2 linked regions of the Macaca mulatta genome follow. The protein of the gene in region 2 interacts with the protein of the main gene of each other region in a pairwise test. Links are inferred from orthologs where the notes say so. Each region holds a gene or a part of one and is shown on either strand. Other genes may lie near its edges.

What was found.
Region 1: the proteins of MIA2 (region 2) and TTC23L interact in binary tests that used the Homo sapiens proteins (3 or more experiments, as listed by UniProt). The two-hybrid records come from large-scale screens. The link is inferred for Macaca mulatta from reciprocal best matches to the Homo sapiens genes MIA2 and TTC23L.

Annotation. Positions count from the first base shown.
Region 1 is NC_133411.1:35,899,389-35,903,964, forward strand, and holds the start of TTC23L (tetratricopeptide repeat protein 23-like), read left to right. Parts: upstream 1-1,718; 5' UTR 1,719-3,187; coding exon 3,188-3,579; intron 3,580-3,596; exon of another isoform or gene 3,597-3,844; intron 3,845-4,576.
Region 2 is NC_133412.1:112,352,925-112,357,377, forward strand, and holds the start of MIA2 (melanoma inhibitory activity protein 2), read left to right. Parts: upstream 1-1,514; 5' UTR 1,515-1,753; coding exon 1,754-1,868; intron 1,869-4,453. UniProt on the Homo sapiens protein: Plays a role in the transport of cargos that are too large to fit into COPII-coated vesicles and require specific mechanisms to be incorporated into membrane-bound carriers and exported from the endoplasmic reticulum.

The sequences.
Region 1 (4,576 bases), on a different chromosome or scaffold from region 2:
TTGCTCCTACCTCAGGGCTTTTGCACTTGCTGTTAACATCTTAGAATGTTCTAGATATTTGCCCAATTTGTTGCACGATTTGAGGTCTCTTCTCAACGTCATCTTGTCAGAGAGGCCCTGTTTAACCACACTATGTAAGATAGCACACCCCTCCCGCCATGGCCACATCACCTTCTAGATCCCTCACTTGGTTTTATTTTTCTCCATAACTGTTTATCACGTTTTCGTTTTCTTTTCCTTTTTTTTTTTTTTTTTTTTTTTTTTGAGATGGAGTCTTGCTCTTGTCACCCAGGCTGGAGTGCAATGGAACAATCTCGGTTCACTGCAACCTCTGCCTCCCAGGTTCAAGCGATTCTCCTGCCTCAGCCTCCCGAGTAGCTGGGATTACAGGTACCTGCCACCACGCCCAGCTAATTTTTTACTTTTAGTAGAGACCGGGTTTCGCCATGTTGGCCAGGCTGGTCTTGAACTCCTGACCTCGTGATCCACCTGTCTCAGCCTCCCAAAGTGCTGGGATTACAGGCATGAGCCACCACACCTGGCCCACTTTTTCTTAAGGCGACTCATCTAGCTAAGGAAGTGAGTGAGTCCTGAATTCCAGCCCACTCTCTGTTCCCAAAGCTGTACTCCTTAGCAGCGGTCTGAGTCTGGCTGGAAGAAGAGGCTTTTCCCAAATTCATACAATGTTGCGGCATACTTCCTAAGCCTTATGCCTTTTTGTAACTTGCAGAGACACTATTGTTTACTAGCAGCTGTGTTTTTCTTCATCTAGTAGAACAGAAATTCCTGGAAAGCAAAATCATTCTTATTTGTTCACTTTTGCTTTCCTACTGCTTGTAACATTATCAGGCACATAGTAGGTATTCCACAGATATTTTTGTCTGGTTGGAAGGATAGATGTATGGAGACTGGAGAAACTTGCAAATAAACAGAAATGCCAGTACAATGTGAGAATCAGGATGAGCTTGTGGACAGGATACTGCGGGAGTTCAGAAGCAAGGCATCTAACCCTCTCTTGAGAGGCCTTAACAATGTGTTCCAAGAGAAAGTTTATTTGGATTTCCTTGCCTTAAATTTCACAGTTCCTGGAGATAGAATAGTTTGGAGATAATCATATTTGATTTGGGGTTGTAAGAGCCTAGAAAACTCTCCAGACTGCTTCCTCTATGCAATTTCTGCAGTAGCAAATTTCTCACCTCTACCTCCAGATCAGGGGAGAGAATGTGAATACACACAGTGGAAAAGCACTATCCACTTCGATTAGTGGGATTCCACCCCAGAGTTAGTGAACAAACCTAAAAAGTGTATATACTACAACTAAAGCTTACATTTGGGGGACAGGGTTAACGTGGCAAGGAAAGAAAATACCACAGAACTTCAAGAGTCTTCAAAGTTCTGGCTGGACGGTGGCTCACACCTGTAATCTCAGCACTTCGGGAGGCCAAGGCAGGCAGATCACCTGAGGTCAGGAGTTCCAGACCAGCCTGGCCAACATAGTGAAACCCTGTCTCTACTAAAAATACAAAAACTAGCCAGATGGTAGTGGCACAGGTACTGGCCTGTGATTCCAGCTACTTGGGAGGCTGAGGCAAGAGAATTGCTTGAATGCGGGAGGGAGGTGGAGGTTGCAGTGAGCCAAGATCACACCACTGCACTCCAACCTGGGCCACAGAGTGAGACTTCGTCTCAAAAAAAAAAAAAAAAAAAAAGTCGTCAAAGTTCTTTCATTTTGATTTATAATTTTTACAGATGCAGGCAACGTGCTTCTGGTCAGAGCTAATGAAATGGAGGCCGAATCAGAGCGTTAGCTTCAGGAATGGGAATTCAGCGTCTGTTCTGGTTCCACTTCCCTTCACAATTATCAGCAAAAGCAAAGATTTAGAAGACATTACCGTTAATATACTTAGAAACAATCCCATAGCCACTTCCTACAATGAAAGAACACTAAAACCTTTCAATTTGATGACCAACTTAACAAGGGGTGAGAGAAATAAATGTTGGAGAACAGGAAACAGAGTCTTCCTTTTTACTGCCATACATGTTAAATACTGTTCATGGAGTCACAAAAATCGTTTACCCCTTACAGAAACCTGGAACCAGAAGGAGCTTCAGAAACTAAGTGGTACAAGTACTTTCACTGTATAGGCAAGAAAACTGGGACCCACACACTTGTCAGAACCAGAACCTTGACATTCTGAAATCAAGTTCATTGCTGTCATCATTGTTCCATGCTGAGAGTTTTCTTAGGAAAAACGAGGAAGTGGAGGAATCTTTCCAAAATTGTGACTATGGAGCTCGAAGGTACTGATTTAAATCTTGAGTTAACAGACCATACAGGCTTTACTTAAGAGATATTCAAGCAAACTCATTTAAATAACTCCTCCAAGCTAACCCTAGAAAGGCTTTCTTGGCAGTCTTGGATCAATGGCAATTAAACTTCCATCCTCGAGCTGGAAATAACAAACACCAAACGTAAATACCATCTGTCACATTCTCAATGTTCTCCTTGTCTCTCTACCTAGTCTGCTCTTTTCTGAAAACAACTGGGACACATTCACTCCAACTTGACTTGCCATAGGCCTAGTCTGTGATAGGTTTCATAATAACATCCTTCAACATAGCGTTGTTAAGAGCTGGCGCTGTTTGGGTATGGCCACAACTGCCTCTGCTCCTTCTGTGCATTATACACACTGTGTATTCCAGACACTGTGTATTCCAGACACTGTGTATTCCAGACACTGTGTATTCCAGACACTGTGTATTCCAGGCCAACGAAGGGGTAAGATATGGCTGCATTATTTAGGGCTAAGTGCTAAATGTGCCCGACTCCCTCGCTGAACAGCTAACCATTAGCAGACCTTAGAGTAGTTGATTTCTTAGCCTACTCACTTCCTGCAATCCGCTTTCCTAACCAGGCCTAGCTCCAATCTGACTGGGTAGAACAGACGATGCCAGCACAGTCAACAGCCATATCTAAGCCTTTCCTCTGGGGTCCACGAAAACAAAACTCCCGAGGAGCTGTGGGGGTGCTCCGTAGCAAGGGATCGTCGCCGAATCCAGCCCGCACACGTCGCAGCTTTAAATAGGTAGGGTCGTGGGGCCTAGTGCTCCCTTCCATCTTTGGACGGAATGTATCTTCTCTTCCTATGCCTTCACCTCCGAGTGGTAAGGTCTCGTGAGATACAATATGCAGAGGCCAGTTTTGGGGCGAGCCGGAGGCCGTGAGCGTCTAGCCTGCCGGGACGGGAAAGCGGAGGGTGCCGTAAGAGCTGCTGTAGGCTCTAGCCAACAGGGACTCTCCGAACCGGAAGCGCCCCGCGTCGCTATGGCTACAGGCGCTCGCTGCAGGCCCGTAGCGTTCCGTCCCCATGGCAACGGTATTGTCTCCTTGGCCGGAACCTGGGTTGCGGAAGATAAAGGGGACCTCGCAGGCTGTGTAACTTCTGCGAGGCACCGCTTTGGCGCCCGGACCGAGATCGGCCAGGATCAGGAGGCCGACGCAGCGGGAAGAAGCCGCGCAGTCGGGCTGAGGGAGCGGGGAGGCTGGTTCCGGGGCGTGGATTCCCCGCCTTGGGCAAGGTATGCTGTGCGCACTCGCGCGTTCTCTTAGAGCTTCCGCAGCAGGGTCAGTGCTAAGCAGAGCCCGACCTGTGGCGTCAGGGCTTAACGGAGTGACCGCGGAACCACAGCAGGAAAAGAGGAGCGAATCGTACCTGAGTGGGGGACCAGAGTTTAGTGTTCAGGGCCATGCGGAACATCATAGGAAAAGAGTCCGGAAGTTTGAGAGATCAGAACGCCTTGCTGTGGGCATAGTGTTTAAAGTGGAGGTTAAAAAGAGAAATTAGTGAGTCTCCCTTTCTGATTTTCGGTTAGTGGATGCTCTGGAGCCTGGGTCAGAAAGCCACTCAGGGGTCGGCGGGAATGAGTGATTTCTGGAGGGTGAAATGAGAGGCTACTTGGTGGATGTTAACGTTCAGTAAATAACTGCGTTCGATTTGGATTTGGTTTAAGCGCCTGGCATAGCCTTCCTTGAGAGTTGAATTTCACAAATACTGTATTTAGAAATCACATTTTTCGTCATGTGCTTCCGAGGTTTCCCCCATCATCTAACAGCAACAACTAAAACAGACACATGAATTTCATTTTGTTGTTTTATTTTATTTTGAGATGGAGTCTCGCTTTGTCGCCCAGGCTGGAGTGCAGTGGCGGGATCTCGGCTTGCTGCGATCTCCCCCTCCCGGGTTCAAGCGATTCTCCTGCCTCAGCCTCCCGGCTGTGATGTCAAAATTCTGTGATACTTACAAACTCAGCCTCCTGGGTAGCTGGAACTACAGGCGTGCACCACCACAGCGGGCTAAATTTTGTATTTTTAGTAGAGACAGGGTTTCACCATGTTGGCCAGGCTGGTCTGAAACTCCTGAACTCAGGTGATCCACCTGCTTCGGCCTCCCACAGTGCTGGGATTACAGGCGTGAGCCTCTGTACCCGCTTTGTGACCCCCTTTACTAGAATCTGCTATTAATTAGTGAAATGACCCCAGCGAAAAAAAGCAGAATTAACCAACACACTGTGCTTC
Region 2 (4,453 bases):
TCCTCCAGGCTTGGTTTTTCAAAGTGCTGGGATTACAGGTATGAGCCACTGGGCCCGGCTGATTTATTTTATTTTAAAGTAATATATGGGCCAGATGTGGTGACTCATGCTTGTAATCCCAGCACTTTGGGAGGCTGAAGCAGGAAGATCACTCGAGTCCAGGAATTCAAGATCAGCCTGGCCAACACTGTGAGACCTCATCTCTACTAAAAATAAAATATTAGCCAGCTGTGTCCTGCATGCCTGTGGTCCAGCTACTCAGGAAGGAGAGGTGGGAGGATTGCTTAAGCCCGGGAGGCTGGCCTGGGCTAGAGTAAGACTCTGTCTCAAAAACCAAACCAAACCAAAAAAGATATATGCTTTCTTTTTAAAAAAATAAAGCCAAACAATATAGAAAAAGTCAAACAATATAGGAAACTACAAAGAAGAAAATACCACCGGAAATCACACTATATACTTCCACTATGTGGGGAGCACTTATTCAGGTATCTTTCTTTCATTCTCTGTCCACTTACAGAAATACGCATACAGTTTTTAAAACATGGAGTAATACTCTACCTGCTGTTTCTGGAGTAGTATTGTTGCAGACAGAGTGACATCTTTACACGGCAGATGACTTGATTCTTGGTGGTAAAGCAAGTGGTTGGTTATAAGTATGGGGTCTCATCGTACCTAGGTTAACATTTCTTTTCCATTCACTACGTGCCATTGAGTGAGTGATTTAACCCATCTCTCTGTGCCTCAGTTTCCTTATATACTAAAGTGGGGATGATAATATTACCTACGTCAGAGAGTTGATGTGAAGGTTAAATCAGATCAGATATTTAAGTACTTACTTAAGACAGTACCTGGAACATAGTAAGTACTTACTACATTTTAACTATTGTTCTTTTTCTTTTTTTTTTTTTTTTTTTTTTTGAGACGGAGTCTCGCTTTGTCGCCCAGGCTGGAGTGCAGTGGCTGGATCTCAGCTCACTGCAAGCTCCGCCTCCCGGGTTTACGCCATTCTCCTGCCTCAGCCTCCCGAGTAGCTGGGACTACAGGCGCCCACCACCTCGCCCGGCTAGTTTTTTGTATTTTTAGTAGAGACGGGGTTTCACCATATTAGCCAGGATGGTCTCGATCTCCTGACCTCGTGATCCGCCCGTCTCGGCCTCCCAAAGTGCTGGGATTACAGGCTTGAGCCACCGCGCCCGGCCTTAACTATTGTTCTTAACTAAATAAGTTTTAACTTCATAGTAACAACAAGGGGTTTTTAAATATACAGGTGGAATCTTTTTAAAAATACTTTTCACCATGATATTTCAAAGCCATTCTTTTAACATAAATTATTACTATTTTTGCACACACTATGTACATTATCCACTGAAATTAGTATTTGCAGGTAACTACGCTTTTGTGGAGACCTACTTAAAAACTGTCTTGTTGAACACAAGGTACCTTTAAGTGAGACAGTTTTACATGGGCTTCCTTTATAAGACATTAGTCCAACTAAAAATCCTTGTTAATTATTAAACCCTTAGGTGTTACAGGAATACCTGACACTGCAGATTGGAAACAGACAGTGTTTGTCTTTCAAGTTAAACCAACAAGTCGGTAGAAAAATGTAGTTATCAAGAAATTTTTAAAACTTCAACACTTTTTCTCTTATATTTAGTAAAGAGAGTAAAATATCTCCTGTTTTGGCTGACATCTCTACAGCCTGAACAATTGGCTTAAACCTCACTTGGGATTCCTGGTTGCTTGTTTTAGCATGGAGAAACTTGGCGTCCACAGAATCTTTCTTCTGGCTATTTCTCTGACAAAGTGTCTGGAAAGTACAAAACTGCTGGCAGACCTGAAAAAATGTGGTGACTTGGAATGTGAAAGTAAGTTTGCTTCCCCCGCTTCTTCTCCTCCTAAACTGGGGCTCTGAAATGACATAAAATCTTATTGTGGTCATGCATGATAAAAATGAGTACTGGTATCATTGAGAAATATTTGCATTATGAAGCATAGCTTGGTGTAAAAAAGAAATGTTGGAAGCAAAGCATTTTGTGATAGTATTTAATACAAATATACAAACAGCAAAAATCAGTCTGCTATAGAAATATATCAGAAGTTAAAATGATATTAATTCATACCTCAAAAACAAACTAATCAGCCCTTTTACTATTTTTAAAGATAAATCTGGGAGTCTCTGAGCCTATTCTGGCTCAGAAGGCTGCCCCATTAAAAAAAAAAAAAAAGGATAAATCTAATTGATTCACATGAAAAAAGACATCAGGCTAATTTGATAGTCCTTTATTTACGAAAGCCTTTTACTTTTTAGTTTCTGTTTCACACACAGAACTTTCTGATTCTCATGACGTTCCTAAAAAGTGTTCTTATTTCAAACCATCATGATTTATTCTTCTAAACCTTATCAAATGTTAATCATTTCTGTGTTATTATGTAAAAATACTGAAACCAGGGTTAGAATATAAATTTTTTATTTATATCATTGAATATAAAGCTTTTTTTTTTACTGTAAATGGAAATTAATTTCCATTCTATTAAGAACTAATTTTCTGTTATTCTATGGTGCAAAATAAATTATATCCCAATATATTAGAGTTGCTTTAAATAAGTTATTTTTCCTTTTGTTTTTATGTTATAATAAATATGTATTTTTTCTCTCGCAGCAAAATCAAGAGTTGCTTTAAATAAATTCTACCTTTTTGTTCTTTTTTTCTGAGATGGAGTCTTGCTCTGTCGCCCAGGCTGGAGTGCAATGGCACCATCTCGACTCACTGCAACCTCCGCCTCACAAGTTCTCCTGTCTCAGCCTCCAGGTGCACAACACCACACCCGGCTAATTTTTTGTATTGTAGTAGAGACGGGATTTCACTGTGTTGCCCAGCCTGAGCTCAGGGAATCCATCCGCCTCAGCCTCCCAAAGTGCTAGGATTACAGGCATGAGCCACTGCGCCTGCCTGTGAGAATTACTTCTAATTTGTAACATGAAAATTAAAAATGGAAAACATTATTAGTATAAACATAAATAATTTATAAGTAATAATTTTGAGTAAACATTCTTCCTTAACTTTTTGGACATATAACGTAATATGTAGAGAAGTTTGCTATATGATGTTTTATTGTCATAATAATCTTTTGGCTGGGTGTGGTGGCTTGCACCTCTAATCCCAGCACTTTGAGAGGCTGAAGTGGGAGGATCACTTGAGTTCAGGAGTTTGAGACCAGCCTGGGCCACATAGTGAGACCTCATCTCTACAAAAAATCAAAAAAGTTAGCTGAGCATGGTGGCACAAGCTATAGTCCCAGCTACTAGGGAGACTGAGGGTGGAGGATGGCTTAAACCTGGGAAGTGGAGGCTGCAGTCAGCTATCATTATGCCACTGCACTCTAGCCTAGGCAACAGAACAAGACTCTGCCTCAAAAAAATATATATAAAGAAAAAAAAAGTCTTTCTTTCCCTCTTTATATTACAACATCATTTTAGTTTTCTTAAGGCCAGACATAGAACCTGAAAAGGGAACATTCAAATTTATAGAAATTTATGATGTTATTTTAACTTTAATTGCATGACAATAAAAATATCTTGTTTTACACATGTCAGTATAATTATAATAGATAATATGGTGTGTATATTACTTCATGTGTTGAACTGCTGAATCTGGCATATGTGGCTGTGATTCGTTCATAGTTATTGAGGGCCTACTACATGTTGGGTTGGATGGGGGGCAGGTGCTATGCATCTAAGGAGAATAAAATGAGATGTAAGATAAGTTTCTTCCCCTTCAGAAAATTTAATTTTAGTGAACGATGACAAGACAGGTTAAATGAAACAGTAAATAGTGATGCAGCCTAGTAAGGATAATAGGTAATATTAAAGTTCAGAGAAAGGGCAATCGGAGTAGGTTGGAATAATCAGGCTGCCTCACAGAGGAAGCAGGGCATGACTCAAGCATGAAGGGGCAAACAGGTGTCTAGACTGGGGAAAGGACAGAAAGAAAAGCTCAGAATAAGGAAGGAGATTTTGCAGTGAGAAGAACCTCAGGGCAAATCGGGCTCCACTGGGGTTGTGTGACCAATTCTCTGAGCCTTCACTAAAGACTCATTTGTTAGACTGAGATGAAATTATTTACCTCATAGGTCTGTTTTAAGGATTTAATAAAATAAAAATATGAGAGCAATTATCATAATGCCCAGAATATGGTAAGTGCCAGGAAGAAAACTGATTACCTTTTTTCCTTTCCTACAGACTAGAGAATGATGATGATACGTTCCAGGGACAATGGATAAACAAGCTTGAGTGTAGCCAAGTCTGTGTGAAGGGATAGGAGGAGGTCCTTTCAAAGAGAGAAAGGGGACCAGGTTATGGACAGCCTTGGATACCAGGCCCAAAGGCTTAGACTCTCTAAGGCTACGTAGGTTTTTGAGGCCATAAATGATATAAAGATATTAGCATTTG